Linked DNA regions of Kluyveromyces lactis. The protein of the gene in region 2 purifies or fractionates together with the protein of the main gene of each other region. This does not show direct contact. Links are inferred from orthologs where the notes say so. Each region holds a gene or a part of one and is shown on either strand. Other genes may lie near its edges.

Region 1 (8,346 bases), on a different chromosome or scaffold from region 2:
ATTGCTTACACCAGTCTTCTTGGTAATTTCTTCTGCATCTTTTTTGTAATTCGAAAGTTCAGTTTCCACGTTCTCGACAGCATCAGGGAATGGTAGATGAGAATTGGCAATCCAGAAAAAATCTTTTGGGTCTATATCCATTTTTTTAATAACCTCTTCGTTTTGCTCGTTGGTGGTAGGCATGGTTATAGTGTTTCTTGATAATTTGAAAACATCAAATACCAAACATTGATAAATCCAGGAATGTGCAAACATAGAAGCAATGTCAATATTTCTATCCACTATAACAAGAACAAACCGCTCAAATGAAGTTGATCCACTAGCTGAAGATCTGGTACCATTGACATAATCACGCAGTTTGGTTTCAAGTTTTTGAGCCACCATTTCAGCAGCACCACCCCTTTGTGCTCTAATAATAGGTATAGTTCCAATTGTGACGATAGCATTGAAGATCCCAGTAGCAATTGAATCGCATAGATTAGTGATAACGTCCTCAGAACTCTGAGGATTATTAATAAGTCCATAAGTGCCGGGCATCTCCAATGAAAACATTTCCGGTTCTGTTACAACGAAATCCAAATATTGATCGTACACTTGTTTTATTCTGTCAGACTTGCCAGTAGCAGAAGCCTTGCTTGCAAAGGTTTCTAAAAGATCTCTTTTCAATGTAGTTGTGAAATTGATGTATGTTTCTGAATACTTATCTTCTTTCAAGTCCTGGACAATCGCATCGATGTTCGCTTCTGTTGGTTCCACGAAATACACTGCTGGAACATCAGGTAAAGGGGATCTCTGTTGTGTGATAAGGGCGTGAACTGTAACATTGGATTTTAACAAGTCATTGACTCTCATAACAGATGATATTATAGCGGTGCTCCTAGCATCCATGATCAGTACTTTCCAAACGATCTCTTGTTCATCAAGATTGCTTGTTGCTGCTTCCGTTCCTTTATCTGAATTGAACAGTAGCATCTTTTCAATAGACAGAATCTGTCTGTCTCTTAAGGACAATTCTGAATTCAGCATATTACTCTGGTATATATGTGATCCCGATGAGGTATGCTGTTCAATGGTTTGCAGTCAATGACTTCACTCTCGTCCGTACTTTCTGTACTTTTGGTGTGTCTGTTTATTATAAAGGTGCTTCCAGTTTTGATGTTTAATCATTTTTTGAAGTATATTAGTATTTCGTTTTCGGTGATGGAAACGGTATTTGGCCAACACGTAGATTTGGATCTATAGCACTCGTGAAGAGATCGCATATTACATATACATCGGCCAAACTTGAGTCTTGTACTTCGTATTTATTTCCATTTAGTATACATAATTCTATTTGATTTTGGAACCTACGTTAAAGACAGTGATATTTTTTAATTGTACCAGCTTCATTATTGTGGTGGACCTTCCTTCAATGTAGATCTACCGGCTCTGAGTAGTTCGTCGCATAGCAACAAGTTAGAGGCTATACCTGCGGCACCAGTTACTGCATTTCTGAGGACACGATAAGAGTCCCAAACACCTTCTATAGTTGGATCACAAGAGTCGCCAATATTTAGATCAACACCCACTATTCTTGTCTCATCTTCTTCCAACTCGTCTTGGCATTGGGCAAGTACATCAAGGGCATCATATCCGGAATTCTTTATTAATGTCTTAGGAATAGACAAAAGTGCGTCTGAAAAGGCTTGTACACCTGTTTTTGCTTTACCTTTGGCGCCTAGCTTGTTCATATTCGCCCTTTTCAAGTGCTGGGAAGCAGAAATGAAGAATGCCCCAGCGCCAGGAACGACAGCACTGTCTTTGATGACATTTGCAACAGCTCTTAAACCATCTCTTACTGCATCTTTGGTTTGGGTCAAAGCGTGGTGAGTAGAACCTTTAATCAAAATGGTACAAGACTTAGGATCTCTGTTTTCGGTGACGTAAGTAAATTTCTCCTCGCCGATAGTTTCCTGGTAAACCAATCCGGAATAACCTAAAATTTTAGGCGAAAGATCATCAACGGAATTTTGAGCTTCACCCCCAGTGACGAGTTGTAGTCTTTCCATATTACGTCTCTTGGCTCTTCTTAGAGCAAGAATGTTGTGTTTAGCAAGAACATCTAATGACATTGGGTCGATACCTTTTTGGTTTATGATAACAAAACCCTCTTTAGAATCCATACCACATACTTCATTCTTCAAGTCGATGATTTTTTTTAATTTCTCATCAACAAATTTTCTTTCACTAGCAGCCAACTTGTCTCGTTGGTCAGCAGAGCTGTAAAAGAAACCAGAGTTGACTTCCGTCTTCTCATATTCCAAAGAAACATTTAGAATCAAAACATGTGCATTTTCGACTCTGGTTGGCATATCAGGATGTCTTCCTCCATGATCCAAAATTAATCCTTTAACAAAAGTGGTATCCTGTGGAGATAGATGTTGCATTTGCATTATTTCAATCATGTGTAAATCTAGATTTCTGTTGTTAGGATCTTGAACAGCCAAAACAGCATCAGTGACGATTGGTGTTAAAACTTCAGTGAGTTCTGGGTTGACTTTAGTACATAAGGAACTTCTGGCAACCTGCAATAAAAATTCACGATCCAAATCCTCCTCAGCGCTCTTTTCGATTTTGAAGGTATCCAAAAAACTTAAGGTTTCCTTTCTTGCAATCTCAAACCCGTCAGTAATTGTTCTTGGATGGACACCTTCTTGAATATATCTATAAGCTTGTTTCATCAGTTCTCCCACCAAGCAGACAACGGTTGTAGTACCGTCCCCAGTAATTTCATCTTGGGCAGTGGCTGCACGAGCAATCATGACAGCAGTCGGAGACTGTATTTGCATTTCAGTCAATAGGACTTTACCATCTTTGGTCAACTTGATATTACCGGCACCATCGACCAACATTTTCAAAGTACCCTTAGGTCCTAGGTTAGTTTCCAAAACGGATTGAAGACCCTCCGCTGAAGTGACGTTGACTTTTAAAGCAGCATCTCTTCTTAGGGACTCGGCCTTTGGATTTAACAACTGAACTGACATAATTATCTTGCTTTCTCTCTATTATGCACTGCACGTAATTGGTATTGTCAAATTATGACTTTTGATCTGGATAATAAGATGCAAGCAATTGACTGCAATGAATATCACAACTAAATATTAGAGAGTATAGATTGATTTCGGTTCTATTAGAATCAACGTTGTGGACGAAAATGCAACAGTATCTTTCACTCTTTTGAATGTTATTCTTCTTCAACACCGAACGTTAGCCATAATTAAAAGCTTTACTTTCTCCATCAGAAAACTTAGATCACTGTTTTCGATTAATTTTTTTTCTTTGGAAGTGGCGAAAGCTAATGGTTACCCGGTTATTGAAGCAAAGCAACAATCCATGCTGTCGTGATCCTCATATTTATGCAAAGATGATGAAGATTATACTTTAGTAGGACCGCACATCTTCAGTATAATAAATACTAATAGTGGTTTTCAATGAGAATTCTCTAAATATTTTGGTCTTCTGTAAATTGATTTATATGATGATATGTATTGAATCTATTCACATGAAAGACTATGCCGAAATGATGTCCGTTATGACGACGATGATGGCTGTTTTATGGATTGTTTCCTATACGAAACGAGGTAAACAGTAACTTTCTCTATTGATATTCATTTTTTAACTATTGTCATTTCACTGGGTCTATTTTATCCTATTTCTTGGGCCGCCTGGAGACTTCTTGTTCCTTGCCGTCAAGACTTCAACACCATTCTCGGTGACCAAAAGGGTTTGCTCAAACTGAGCACTAACTTTACCATCCTTTGTTGAAGAAGTCCAATCGTCAGGCCAGGTGATATCTTGCCATACACCTTCGTTAATCATAGGTTCTATAGTGAAGACCATTCCAGGTTTCATGACACCGGGCGTTCTGTTGTTAGCATAATGTGGAATGCTGGGGGCACAGTGGAAAAACTCACCGACACCATGACCACAGTAAGTCCTAACAACAGAGCATTTGTTGGATTTGGAGTGCTTTTCAATGCAGTCTCCCAAGGATTGAAAAGTTACGCCTGGTTTACACATCTTGATGGCGAGTTTCAAACATTCACGGGCAGTTTCAACGGTATTTATGACATCCTTGGCGATAGTCTCACCAACGTAGTAAGTTTCGTTTAAATCTGCATGCATGCCTTGGTAATACAATGAGACATCTAAATTGACAATATCTCCCTCTTTTAGAACATATTTGTCAGGAACACCATGACAGATAATCTCGTTCACAGAAGTACAGACGGATTTAGGGAAATTATAGTAGTTGAGAGGAGATGGGTATGCTCCCCTCTTGATAGTCTCGTTATGCACTATCTCATCAATTTCATCCGTAGTGATACCTGGTCTAACTGCGGCGGCCGCAACATCTAGCACTTCTCTACCTAGAGCACAAGCTTTTCTGATCCTCTTAATTTGCTCCTTATTGTAGACAGGAATCTTGTTTGTTCTATCATTTCTTTGTTCGATGATGGGTAGCCCATTTTCTGCCCAATCTGGTTTCTCGATCTCATCTGGGACCTGTCTTTTTGGCGACAGAGGGTATTGAGCTTTCAGCTTGCCAGTATACTTGAATTTTGGAAACGGATCATACACCTCACCAGAACCATCTGTACCATAATGTAAAGCCTTATGCTGTTTGTACCCGTCTTTGAAACAAGATTCTCCACAAAAGACCTCTTCAATACCTTGCTTCAAGCAAATCGGGCATTTTAACATCGAATCTGTAACTTTACCACATTGTAGACTAGAACAACGGACATTAGCGATTTTTTCCTGCATTTTTTCCTCTTAGTGTCTTCCAAGATTTACAGCTGCTATGTCAGTAAGTGCAGTTCAGAAACACCTTCTATATCACTTGGAATACGTTTGGTATAAATAAGTGAGAGAGAGGAGTAGAAAGAGCTGTATCTGAGCTTCTCTCATCGCATCTCGTTCTCATGTTCTTTATTAAAGGTCGAAACAAAAAATTTTATTTGAAAAGTCAGATGAGTTTAAATGTCATACTTTTCTTTTAATTCTACAGTGCGAAGACTCCGCATTATCTATGACACATTTCTAAATATCTTAGGAACAACCTCGGTTTAGGGCGATTGAGAGAATAGTGCTTAGAAAATTTTGATTAACTGGCGGTTACTTCTGATCCTAAGTAGCTAGCTTATGAGAAGGTGTTTTCCAAAGGCATGTTTTCTTAACTTTCTCTCAAAACGCTAATGAATAATTACTATATAGAACTTTCTTGATTTTTGATTTCGTTTCTTACTATGGAAAAGTTCAAATCTTGCACAAAAAAGAGTCGAATCTTAGCTCACCTATGAAAGTGATCTGGGCCGAAGCTTTCTGGCAATAGTTCATTGAGGGTCATAATTTTTTTGACAGAGGTGTCGCAGTTTGTCATTATTATTGGCAGATCTTCTTTTCCAAACTCTCTGATCGTTTGCCGACAGATTCCACATGGCGGAATGTAATTATCTCTCATATCGCTGTTGATAGCGACACAAACCCAATCTGCTCTGTGGGAGCTTGTGACAGCTTTCACGATAGCAGCTCTTTCTGCACATATGGTGGCTCCATACGTAGCATTCTCCACATTGCTTCCTGTGATATAAGTACCATCTTTTGTCAGTATGCAACATCCGACCCTAAATTTTGAATATGGACTATAGGAACCACTTTTTGCTTTTTGACTCTCTAAAATGGCTCTATCTACCTGTGTAGGTTCAATACCGTCCAGTTTGCTCTTGATCTCCATTTTATACTGCAATGATGCGTATTCAGTAGCGAACTGGGTCCAGCGTGTATTATACGCTCGCCTCTTGGTTTCTTTATACAACGATGGCTGATATCTTCTTGTGTGAGAAATACATCGTTATCATATCGAGATTTTATATAATGAAATATGTCACTATCTGCTTGATTTCGTCTTGGCTGCTTTTACTTACAAAAAATTACCGTTGATCGCAAAGCACATATGAACTATATGTATGTAAATATAGTAAAGCTAACAGTTCCCGTTTGTCTACTGATACAGTTTTCCCGCCATATTAGATGCTCGCAGGGGTATAGTACGATGCTCTTCCTTAAGTCCTATCACGTTTTGTGTCATGCTAAACATGTACGAGGGTCCAAAAATTCTCGTCACGTGACCTGAAGTGTCAGCGCTCAAACTAAAGCGGAAGAAGAAAGAAAGAAGAAAGAAAAAAAAAACTGAAACTAGGTATAAGTCAGGAACGAGAAAAGGTGAAAGCTTGAACATAAAACAGCAGTTGTGGAAAGAGGAGAACGAGAAGCTGATTTCGCCTTACTTGACACCACTGCATTATTTTTTTTTTCCTATTTTAACGCAAAGGAGAGTACCTTTATCGCTGCTAACTTTGCTGAAGGACCTTGTGGTTTCCTTGTTTTCTTATTCACGTTGTCTTCGAATTAGTATACTTTTTTGTTTGGTTTGATTTGACTCATTTACTGGTGCAACTTCAATTATCGCTGGTTAAAGGTCAAAATTAATAAGCAGATTAGGTTTCCTAGTTTGAGAATTTGTTACATATCACTATTGCTTTTATTCTACTGGTTCTGAGCTGCAAATCAGATCCTGTAAGTCTGCGTCTTTCTCTTCTTATGATTCAACTACACCCATTCATAATCCGATTATTGAGGCATCCTTGATTTTATGCAAATACATCTCCAACGGATTACTATAATAAATGGATTCCTCCACTAATATAACATCACGGTTATGGAACCAGCAGGTTCATGAACCTTCAAAGGTTCGAGTACAGAATGTCGATTCTTTGTATCTCATCTCATATTGTGATCGGTTGACGCCGATCATGAGCAACTTTAACGTATATCTTTACATCGATATCCCAACGATTGATTATTATAATGATGAGCTTAAGGATAACAGGCTCTCTCGAATAAACAAAAAGTTTAAGTTGCATAGGCTGAGAGATAAAATTTTGAAGAGTATAATAGGTGAAAATGATGAACTTTGGACACTTTCAAGACAACTCGCAGGCGATTTTGATTTCCATTTGGAAATTTCTTCTAGTGGCTCATTGAGATACGTAGAGACAGTCAAGTTTTTGATAGAGACTGTTTGGACGGAACTAAAAGAAACTCTTGGCGAAAGATGTCATATCAATTATAAAATAAAAGTCACTCCAACCTCTTTGAAATGGTTTACCACTTTCCTTTCGAAAGAAATGTTGCACTCTTGTTGCGTTGACTTTGATCAAATAGAAAATTATAATATGATATCCAAATCAACCACCCCGTTTAAGGAATATTACCGCCGGTTAAACGACAAATTTTCTCATAAAGTGTCGCCGATGAACTGTGATTGTGTCATTGTTGTTACGAATAATACGGGAGTTAAGGCGTTGTTAACAATTTTGTCTGACAAGCCATTGACGACATACTTATCTGAACAGTCATTAGAGGCCTTAAATAACACCTCTTTGAAGAACAAAAAATCTTTGACGTCATCAGAAACCTTTTCCCCAACTGACAGTGAAGATGATACTCCATTGACCAGAAACTCATCTTCGATATTAAGCTTCCAGAATAGTATACTTACCTCTAATAAGGACAAATCTGTACGAATACGATCATTATCCATCAACAGAAAATCTAATAGAGCAACAAAATTCCAGAGTTCGGAAACTAATAATCCTTTCTCTGGAAATCAGGCTAGTTCAGATGACGAGGCTGACGATAATGACGGTAATGATGATGATGATGATGATGATGATGATGATGATGATGATGATGATGATGATGATGATGATGATGATGATGATGAAGATGACGACGGATTGAGTTTTTATGCTCCAAGTAAGCTTTCATCTTATGCTTCTGATAACGAAACACAGAACAAGGATCCATCGCAGGGTTCAGCCACCAGAAGATTTAGATCCATCAGTTTAATAGACTCTACTTTGGAAGCCCCCTTTACGGAACCGAGAGAAGATGAGCCCCCAAGTCTAGAAAATATGGAGGATGAAATTTGTTCGCCAACGCAAAACTCTCTACGTAGCGATAGATACACTAATATCTATGTTCATGATGGCCACTTCGATGGTGATGGGTCCGATAATATTACAGCACCACAAAGAAGAAAGATTGGAAATTCATCTTCAGCAAGTAACATCTCACATGGGTTAATTCCACCTGTGTTCTATTCTAGAATATCATCCCCATCCACAAGTAACAACAGCTCAAACTCCTCGTTGAACAATTTAAGTTTATTGCCTGGAACCTTTTCCAAGCTACTAGCTCCGAAAATTGAAGCCCAAGGGCAAAATAACTCCAGTAACAATA
Region 2 (11,419 bases):
AACAAGGTGAAACGAAACTGAATATAGCTGCGTCTCGAAAGAAATTGTCCGAGCAGTGAAAGGAGTGAAACTGGTATTATGTCTTTGAATTGGGGGTTAGTTGATTTTATGTTGGACAACTATGCGTCCATCACTGCATCCCCGATCAATGGTAGCTTACACGACATTTATGTCATTTATTCCATGTTCATGCAAAATTTCCTATGGAAGAATAACGAATGTGGTGAGACGTATTACCAGTTTTGTGAAGATTTGAATAAAATTTCAGAAGTATGTGGTGGTTGCATGAATTTTGAAGATGATAGTGGCGGGAATATTTTTGGCCAAAAGATTTCATTTGTTGATGGGGACTCCTTGAAAATATTGCAAAAAGTTCATTATGACCAAGCTATTAAATTGTCATTATCACATACTGGCAATAAAGCCAAGCAGATTGCGATCGATAAAGATTCTGTTCAGGTTAAAGAAAGAAAAATTGAAAGCGAACCCATATTATTAAATAAGTTGATGGGCATTTTGGACCAGAGTGAAATTGTAACCCCTAATGCTAAGTGTCTAAGACACTTAAATCAAATCCTCTCGTTAGAACTCGGATCCACTAAGTTATCTAAAGAACAGGCAAAATTAAACACTAAGCGATCACCTTTCATACCAATATGCTCAGATCCGAAACATGTGTCACTACTATCCACCGTCATCAATACTGTTAACAACAAAATCATGTCTTTGCAAGGTGAAAAATTAAAGAAGATTGAAGCTGATTGTCCGGATATTATCGAATGTTCGAACACGCACATTCATTTCATACCAAATTTAAAGCCACAGACGGATCTTTCGTTGGGAGATTGTTCGTATTTGGATACTTGTCACAAGTTAAGTACCTGCAGATACGTCCACTATCTGCAATATTATCCTGAATCTCTCCAAAAACAGAAAATTGAAGAACAAAAAGAGCAACGCAAGCAGTATTCGTTCTATACGCATGGAGAGTGCTGTTCTTCATCGTTTAAGAAGCTTCTTCCTCCACAATGGATCAAATGTGACGTCAGAAAGTTTGACTTCGATATTCTTGGTAAATTTTCAGCCGTTATTGCAGATCCCGCATGGAACATTCATATGAATTTGCCCTACGGTACTTGCAATGATAATGAGTTACTGCAACTACCATTTGATCTCTTGCAGGAAGAAGGTTTATTGTTCTTGTGGGTAACCGGCCGTGCTATCGAAGTAGGGAAAGAATCATTGCAGAATTGGGGTTACGAAGTAATAAATGAAATATCTTGGATCAAGACAAACCAATTAGGAAGAACAATTGTGACAGGTAGAACTGGCCATTGGTTGAACCACAGTAAAGAGCATTTACTCGTCGGGGTCAAAGGCAATCCGGAATGGCTAAACAGAAAAATAGACATTGACTTGATCATTAGCGCAACTAGAGAAACCAGTAGAAAGCCGGACGAATTGTATGGAATCATTGAAAGACTTGTCGGTACACATGCCCGTAAACTTGAAATTTTCGGTAGGGACCATAACATCCGTCCTGGATGGTTCACGATAGGAAATCAAGTGACAGGCTCATCTATCCATGAAGTGGATGTGAAAAGGAAATACGAAAGATTCATGGAAAAATCAAAGAATTCAAAGACAAACTAAAGATGTAATACTCTCTTTACTTCAAATGTCCTAGCTTTTATTTGTCGATACACAGTATCCATTAGGAGTCTGTATGTGTTCCTTCTTACTTTTCTTCTTTTTTTTAATTTATGTCATACGCCCTTGTAATTACAAACGTTACATTACCCACAAGTTCGTGCTACACTTAAGCAGCAATAGGCAATCTTTTGATTTCCATAACCATGGCTGATCCTACGGGCGTTCTATTAGCCAACGCGCTTGTTTTTTGAATTCAATGCAACAAGCTCTCAGCTTAATCTAGCATTCTATATATTAGGAACGGTGTTTCTGTCCACTACACCAACCCCAGCCGGCAAGTCCCTGCAGCAGCTACTAGAATGACATGCGATGGCTCAGGTTTGCTAAAAACCCAAAATCAATTACCGCCAGGCCGTGAAACAAATATTGTTACCCGGACTTGAATTCCTGAACGTCAATATTACACTGTTTGTCAATATGTATAAAGAGATGCAACAGAAACAGAAAATAAAGTAGGAAGTACTTCTGAATCTGTTGCCAGTGTGAACGGTATCGTATGAGCTACTTGTGGGTTTGTAGTCCCGGCGAGACAGCAACACCATTTAAACAAGGAATAGGAACCTTTTATGCTCAGTGTCCATTACCAGAACTTAAGTCTCTCGTGACCAGCAACCAATCATTTTCATACCGTGTAATGTGATACCGAAATTACAACATCGAAAAAGCATGATCTTTGTCTAGTTTCTCCGTCGTGCCATTTTTGGTTTTTTATATGGAGTGGGATATGGAAATATCGCGAGAGAGATTGTGTTGATGCTAGAAAATTTTGGAGGTAGGAAAAAAAAAATTGTTTAATAGTTAGGAAAGTTCAAGTTATTAAAGCTACTCTTTCCATAATAGAAAAGGTTTTATTGGTAAGTCAAAGTACTTTTTTAAAAGAGATTTTTGTGATTAGTTTTCTTACTGTTTACAATTCATTTTACATTCATTTCGAGTTTGATATCTATTTAACGTCAACTGTGTTTGGTGAATTAATTCCATAAGGATATTCTGTTTCGAAAAGCCAGACCCTAGATATAATCAAAAATGTTCAAACAAGCCATTAGAAGAGCTTCTACTCTACCAAAGTATGCTTTGGAACCAGCTTTCGGTAAGCCAGATTTGGCTGCTGCCCAAGCTTACAAGGACTACATGAAGCACAGTACTGAGCACGCTAAGCAAACCTCTAACTTGTGGGTTAAGATCTCCATATTTGTTGCTGCTCCAGCTATTGCTCTGACCGCTGTCAACACCTACTTCGTTGAAGCTGAACACGCTGAGCACCGTGAACATTTGAAGCACGTTCCAGATGAAGAATGGCCAAGAGACTACGAATTCCAAAACTTAAGACAAAAGCCTTTCTTCTGGGGTGACGGTGACAAGACTTTGTTCTGGAACCCAGTCATTAACAGACACGTCTCTCACGATTAAACACAGTTCGATAAATGATCTCAACTTGTTGGGCTTTGGCCATTCATAATGAAATATCAAGATAGCCCCTGCCTGTGGGTTTTTTTATCTTTTAAAACACCTTTTATCAAATATCCTCAAATTATCTTCAAAAGAATTCAAACATCCGTTTAATCTGGCATTATACTTCAAAATACAACAAACATATGGATAAACTTTATAGTGGAGTTTCCACCATACAAATAATTATTATTTAACTCAAGAAGAATAAACACACTTTTTATCTTTATTGTAAATTCAGTCCTAGAAAAATAGAATAAAACACGTCACACTGTGTCAATGATCATAAGTAGATATAAGTTTCTTCATTATCAATATCTATTGTACTGAATCTGTGACAAGCAGTACATCAACTTCGATATGCTCAGCGTTATGGCAAACGTCTTTAGTAACTCAATACTTACTTTTTTTTCACGAATGATGAATACAAACTGACTTTACGTTCCAAAAACTTTAACTTTACATTGTTCCCCATTGTTAACCGAACAAAAAATAAGGGGAAAACGAAAAGTGATACGCTGGTACAGCGTATATACAACATATATCCAGAATATATCCGGAGCACACTTGAAGCTATGCCCCGAGCTATTAGTTTACCTTCGATATGTTATTTAATTCGACGAGAAAATTAGAGATTATATGTACATATGGATATACGTATGTAAAATGGCAAACTGTAACACTATTGATTACAACTTGATGAGGAGTAAAATTACAATGCCGAGAAGATGAACAAATTATTAGTGGCTGCAATGGCAACACTATTTTCTCTTGGATGCCAAGAGAAATGCAGAATGGATTTTTTGAAATCAATTTCATCACCCCATTCTTTATTTCTCGCACTTTGCTGTTGCAAACTACTCAACCTCTTTGATTTAAATGCAGTCTTATCTGCTTGTAATACAATTTCATCCATTCCAGTAGGTGCTTGATAATCGCCCGTTTTTACTACGTTGGGATAAATCATAAAGTTATTGTTGTATGATCCTGTCATTACACTTGAACTATCACCACTGAAAGCAACTTCGAATTTATCGAATATAGCATCATTTTCATAAGTATCATTTAATCTTTCTTCTAGTTGTTCATGGATATTTATCGTTTTCAATGGCTTATTATCCATGTTAATATCCCATATCTTAACGGTTAAATAATCACGAGATGCAATATAACGACCATCAGGACTGAATTTGACGTCAGATATTGATGAAGTGATTTCTGTGAAAAAATTATGACTTATTGGGTCAAGGTATTCTTCGAACACCTTAGCTCGGTAATCACAAAGAGCATTCTGTCTCATGTCGCATAATTTGATGGTCCCCTTCGATGAAGAATACATGAAAGCATTACACTGTTGAGGATGGAATTCTGCACTTGTAATGACTTCTGTTAGTTCCTCCATGTTGGCTGGTTTAATATCAACAATATTGAATGATTCGTCCGGTATATCTAAATTCCATAAGTTGATTCTCAAATCATCTGAACTGATGAACGTTTCCTGATCTGAATTCAACGATATCGAATTGATGTGATAGGTGTGAGCATTACTATAAATCTTCTTTGGTGCAGCAGCTATAATTCTATCATGTAAGGACAGCTTGGGTAACTTCAAAGTCTGCAAAGACAGTACAGCTCTTGCGCTACCGTTCCCAGCAGAGCGTCTGTGGTAGTCTTTATTTCCCTCTGATAGATTGTTATCACTAACCAATTTGATATTTTTCTCATATATCTTCCACAACTTAATCGTCTTATCGTTTGTACTTAACAAGAAATGCGATTGGTTCGTTGGCCGACACCACTTGATCTGATTAATCTTCTCCTCAATCTCTAAAGATTTCAAATAATCGAATTCTGCATCGTGTGACTGAAATTCCGTTAGAAACTTGTATTCGCAATGCTTTGTATTGTTCCTTTCAAATAAAACTACACGTCCACCTCTATCACCGGTTGCAAGATAATCACCTGTATGATCGAACTCCGACGCCGTTATAATGTCTGCCTCTGTAACCACGATATCTGCTTTATCACCAAAGCATTGACTGAACTTGAAATCGAACCCGTGCTGTGACATATCTCTTACCAACGCTTCCTATCGAGGAATCTAATAAAACACACGCGTCCAATACAGATAAAACAACTGATCCCAGCTAAACTGCTTTTCAGAAATAAAACAAAAGGTTTAAACCAAGTCGAAACAAAAGATGTACACTGGAATTGGCCACCAGACTACAGTAACAGATAAGTATACGCAATCAGATCTTTTTCTTTTCAGTTTTCTTTCAACTGTAGGGAAATCTGATTTTGAGAAAGGGGAATAGAAGTAAAACCCAAAATTCGCACTTAAAACTTGCTATTAACGTGTATTGTGACGAGCTCACCAACAATTACTGTGCTTGGGAACACTTGAATTCTCAAAGACGATTGTAAGGTACCGTGTCAACGGTGTTTTAACTTCAAGGAAGAACCCTTTTTCCTTCTTTACACTTTTTTAACTAGAAAACTTTAATGTTTCCGATTTCCTAAAACTTTTCTTTGGAAGAAAAAAATCAGAATTCGACGATTTCACGATTTTCTTGATAAAAGAAGGAAAAATCGATTGATTTGTGGGTAGAAAACTGCAGGCACTTCACGTGAGAACGGTTGACGGGGTACAGTAAAGCACTTTACGAGCGTCAGAAATGTAACAGTTGAGCTGGCTCTAACAAATAGCGATGCAAATAATAATGCTGTTATTTTGTAGATTTAAAAAAGAGAGGCTAAAAGACGCTTAGAACGATTCGAAGAATTCTTCTTTTTTTGCCTCTGCAATACGTAAATCTAGTAAATGGAAAGGGTTTACCAGAGGATACTTGACTATTTTAAACTTGGGAATATCTAGAGTACGATTAATTGGGGGTACTCTGGGGAAGCTTTGCGAAGGATTTTCAGCGTTAAACAAAACGATAAAAAGGAATACGTGTGTCCAATTGGCAAATTTCTCACTGTAACTATCAATCCAGCTGTCTTACAGTAGAGAAGCAATCAATAATGTGTTCTAAGTTCCAATAAAAAGTAAGAATCATTAACTGAAAACAGACACTTCTTGTTTGTTTTAAAAGGGAAACTATAGCTTTGCAAATGTAGTGAAGAAAAGACTATCAAATGAATGATGTATATTTGCTTTTAGTAATTTGTTGCTGCTCTCTTATTAAACGTTATATGACCAAAAGTGTAGTGAATCTGAGCGTCAAATAAGGGAACTTGATGATTAAAAAAGAAGCAAAGAAACAGCGGCAATTATAATAGCTTGTATCAATTATTCCTGTATGTAACACACTTGCTGCTACAACCGCTTAGGACTCGATTGTGCTGATAGCTCTCTGGTGTGTGTGTGTGTATCTTCCTGACACCTTCGGTAAGTATATCATTCTTTAAGGGGTGGTTCTGTGCATTCTTTCCTTAAATCTGAGTTTTCCCTTTATTTTATTTTTTATTTTTTTTGAATGCTGCAGAAGGACTACGTCAAATTCATTATAATTATCAATAAGGTTCCTATATCCATAGCTTTCACAATAAAAGAGAGTGTGTATATGTATGTATGCATTGACTAGTATAAATATATATATATATATATATATATATTTAGGACAATTCGTGAGTTCGAAGTCTATTCGCTGTTCAAGATTCTGTGTCACTCAGAAGCGTGTCTTCTTCGTTTTGTGACTTAAGTAGCGCATATTTGGACACAAGTTTCCGTAACTGTTCCACGCTTACAGGTTTTTCCAAGACATCATCAAACACCTTAGATTCTTTGGCGTCGTGATAATAGACTGTTAAGGCTACTATTGGTGTCGTGCAATTGACACTATTGGTATGTCTTATAAGTTTTGCTATATCGATTGCGCCTAATTTTGGAAGTTTCATTGCTGTGATGATTAGGTCAAACTTTACGCCTGTTGTGGCACGACGAACCAACTCTTCACCATTTCCAGCGGAAACAACAGAGCACCCAATGCTTTCCAAGTCTTCTGCTACTCTGTATCTATGAATTGGAATAGGTTCACAGAGTAAGACATCCAACTTGTATCTAATACCGTTCGAGTTGGAAGAAGATTTCCGCCCACTACGTCGTCTGAGCTTTCTGACGGTGTTTACCCTTGATAATGCGGAGAGTCTCTCATCATCCTCCGTTGTAGAACCGAAACTATTTCTTGATACTTTCCGTGATTTTGAAATTGAACCCAGAGTGCCGTTTACTGATGGTGGTGATAGTGGAGACTTGAATTTTGATGCTAACGGAGATGACGTCGAAGAACTCCCGTGAGCAGATTCTTCAGTTAGATATGATCCTATGTCCGAAAATCTTTTAGTCGCTGACGGTTGAGGGCTCATGGTGTCGACACTGTTGCGCCTGCTTGGAGAAGCATTCGTATTCCATTTCAGTACTTGAGGAGAGTTAGATCTACGTGTACCCATAGAGGTTGGGACTGATCCCTGTGCACTATTAGCACTTGATTGTTTCAGCTTACCTGAGTTTTCCGAAGAAGAGCTAGATAAAGACGAACTTGAAGTTCTCTGGTGGAGGTACTCCGACAGATGTTCCGATTTCAACCTAGTGATTGCATCTTTATTGGCTTTATCTAAAGCATTTAAGTTTCTGTAGTTAAAGGAGCCGAATTCTGGAGAGGAGTCGTTCAATTTGCTACTACGTCTGTCTCTCATGTGTGGAGGGATAGCGAGCGGTATATGTTTTGTAATCGGTGAATTGTTCGCGGTTGGTGATTCTAAGTTTTGGTTCACCATTTCAAGAACAGAACTTATACTTAATCTTTGTTTTGGAGTGTTTCTACCACTGCTTTGGTCAGACAGTCTCCGATGTAACTGAGAGTCGAGTGATTTTGTACCATTTTTGGCGTCTAGCATCGTATAATCATTATCTTCATCGAAATTCGAAGCAGCAAATTCATCGAGAGACGCTCCACGTAAATCGAAGTACTCAGTGTCTTCAGGATGTTCCACTCGTGGTACAAATGATGGTTGCTCGTCATACACATGGTCCCAATCAACATCTTTGAAGTACGGATGCTCTTTGATCTCCTGAGAGCCACTGGCACCAAGTCTCTTGTTCGGATCAAGCACCAATAACTTAATTACCAAATCTTTTGCATCTGGTGATATGTATTCCATTTCTGTCTCCGCATCAGGGAATTCTGGCCAGCGTATGACACCACCAATTATATTTTCGAAGACTTCATCTACTGTTGTACCATGAAATGGGGGATATCCAAACAAAAACTCAAAAAATATGCACCCAACGGACCACCAATCACAAGTATCACTTTCGCCAGTACCCTTTATAGTTTCTGGCGCGAGATAGTCTGGAGTTCCAAAAAAATTCTTAGATTCATTGGGATTGAATAAAGACAAATCCTTAGGCGAATCGTGGACATTGGTCTCAGAAAGGTTTGAGTTTGTCCTGGAATGATGGTGATGATTTTGGTTGGGAATACTTAGATGATCTGATGTTGACATCAAAGTTGCAGATAAGGGAGGCGTGCCGGAGCGTGAAAGACCAGCCATTGTAAATGAAACGTGGGAACCATTTCTTTTCAAATAAGGTACGTCGGTAACAGTTGATGGAGATTGTGAATGTGCGCTAGAGGATGATTGGGACCTTTAGTCTTTTTGACTAAGTCATAAATATTCTCAGCCGCGCCCGGTACGGATTGTAATGAATCTGTGACAGAATTTTTACGCGTCACAGAGCTATCACAAGTGAAACTGGGATTTCTTGAACTTTGAATTTGGCTGTTACGCCTCTTCTCTTTATGACGACGCAAAAGACCCATACGTGACAACCCAAAGTCTGTCAATTTGATATGACCTAAAGAATCAATCAACAAATTGTCTGGTTTCAAATCATGGTGAATGATACCATTTTGATGCATGTCATCAACACCTGAGATCACTTCACAAATATACTGCTTTGCCCATTTTTCTGGCAAATTACCCATCATTTTAATTAAAGTAGCCATATCTCCTCCGCTCAAGTACTGCATCACCAAAAATAAATTCTCTTTGTTTTGAAACGTTGCATATAATCTAGCAACATATGGCTTATCACTCTGAACCATCATTATTGCGCGTTCCGATTTGACATTCGTTACCTGATTCTTGGCGATCATATCTGATTTCTTGAGTACCTTGATAGCAAAATACTCTCCAGTGACACGCTTTTTAGCAAGGTAGACACTCCCATAGGCGCCCTTACTGATGGGTTTAATCACATCGTAGTCTCGTATCGAAGGAATAATCGATTTACCTGTGGTTGGAAGCAGTAGCGGTGAAAGAGGTTGATTGCGATGTTGATTACTATCAGATAGTTGCATTGCTTCAGAACCGGAAATGAAGGGCGAGAGCATCGGCGAATTGTCAGTGATCGACTTCGTAGTGGATAACGAACCCATGATATTGGCGGAAGAAAAATAATTTGGATTGATTTGAGCACCATTCTGAGTATACGAGGTAGGAGTAGAGAAGTTTACAGGTGATCCTCTTCGAGGAGTGAGACTGATACTACTTGTTAATTTGGGAAGATGAAAATAATTGTTCAGGGCAAACTTAGGAGTAGAAGGATTAGATCGGCTATCCATAGAAGTTTCCAATCCTTCGCCCATTGAAATATCATCAGTAGTTATCTTAGAATCTTGCTCTCCTACTGATTGTTTAGGAGTTACAGATTTAGATGCATGTGCAGAATTTGAACCGGAGTTTTCAAAGTAAGATCTTGCAATGTCAGCATTTGATTTGCCAAATGGATGAGGTTCTGGAATAGTGTCGGTGCCAATATAAGAATCAGAGAATAGGTTACTGGATGATGGTAGCCGTTGTGGAAGAGGGGTGGCTAATTTTGGTGATGAAGGTGTTCCTAGATTAACAGCTGAGCCTGGTCCCGAATTGATATTCGGCACTAGATCTAAAGTGTAAGAAACATTCAATCGATTGCTGTGAATCCTTTCTTTGATTAATTGTGAAATTGACAAATCCACCTCATTCTTTACTTTGTGTGAATATTTGAGAGTGTTGTCCATTCTTATGACAGTTTCGACCTTCTGTCTACATATAGCCATGGTGTCCTGTATCAATAAATTTATGGCAGGATCTGAAACTTCAAATGAAGATTTCCAATTCAAAACATGATCAATATGCAATTCAGTATTTGGGGAAAATTGATAGAATGTTGAAGTTGGGTGCAGAATACCATTATTGTATATTTCTTCAGATTGCATTTTCAACTGGCTTGTATTGACTTGAATTGCCTCTTCACATAGCTCTTTCAACATATATAGCGGTTTAAATGGGAATCTCATGTTTTGCTGCATAATATTAGTAGATGATTTCAGCAGTGAGGAACTTGATCTTTCCATTGAAGATGACCGATAGGATCCATTCGATTCATGGAATGGCGGACTTGGTGATCTTCCCCTACTATTAATTTGGGGTAGTGGATAATTCTTATATTCTGTAATGGGAGGGTACTCTTGTTCTTCTAATGATCCAATAATCGATTCGATTAAACCTTTCTGTTCTAGTAGCTCGTCGTGTGCAGTTTGCACCACACTTTCTAGTCTGTGCTCACAAACGCAAATCTGAGAGTGAGTTTCGAGCCACCATGTAGGAACCATAACTTCACAAACTCGACATAATTCGAAATTAGGAGTGGGAAGATCCATCTCGTCTAGGATCATCATATCTTCTATCTTCTGCAAATATTGGGAGAAAAGTTTTGCCCCAAATCCTAATCTCTTTACCAAATCATACGGCAAATTATCTAACTCATCAATATCATAAAGAGGTTTTACTATCCACATAGTGTGCGATGGTTTTTTGGTATAAATATCATGTATTAAGATTCCTTGCGCTTCTAATTCTATGGTATCCCCATTTCCGTGCCATTCTGCATCTATAAGCTCATTGTTATCGTTTCTAATAGTTTCAGCATTGATTTCGTCACTACTTGAACTCACAGAAGAAGAATCGGAGGATTTAGAAGGAGAGCTCGACAACCCCAATTGATCTGTATCACCCATTAAATCGCCGGTTTCCGTCAGAAATTTGACTCTATAACTATTATCATCTTCAAGCATCATATTCAAGGCACGATGGAAAACAGACTTATCATAATCGCTTCCTATGATGATGTTTGAGACTGGATTCCCCAAGATCTTAAGTCTATTGGTTCCTATGACGGTGTTCCATACTTTGCTAAGGTGTTTAA

What was found.
Region 1: the proteins of CDC55 (region 2) and CCT6 purify together in Saccharomyces cerevisiae (affinity purification with mass spectrometry, with the first as the bait; 3 studies listed by BioGRID). This does not show direct contact. The link is inferred for Kluyveromyces lactis from reciprocal best matches to the Saccharomyces cerevisiae genes CDC55 and CCT6.

What each region holds. Positions count from the first base shown.
Region 1 is NC_006040.1:1,551,415-1,559,760, reverse strand, and holds CCT6 (chaperonin-containing T-complex subunit CCT6), read right to left. Parts: upstream 3,024-8,346; coding exon 1,389-3,023; downstream 1-1,388. Other genes in the region: SLY1 (syntaxin-binding protein), read right to left, coding at 1-1,026; methionine aminopeptidase MAP1, read right to left, coding at 3,679-4,806; CDD1 (cytidine deaminase), read right to left, coding at 5,333-5,776; SND1 (Snd1p), read left to right, coding at 6,729-8,346. UniProt on the Saccharomyces cerevisiae protein: Molecular chaperone; assists the folding of proteins upon ATP hydrolysis. Known to play a role, in vitro, in the folding of actin and tubulin. In yeast may play a role in mitotic spindle formation.
Region 2 is NC_006042.1:836,405-847,823, reverse strand, and holds CDC55 (protein phosphatase 2A regulatory subunit CDC55), read right to left. Parts: upstream 5,234-11,419; coding exon 3,875-5,233; downstream 1-3,874. Other genes in the region: IME4 (mRNA (N6-adenosine)-methyltransferase), read left to right, coding at 79-1,653; COX13 (cytochrome c oxidase subunit VIa), read left to right, coding at 2,740-3,123.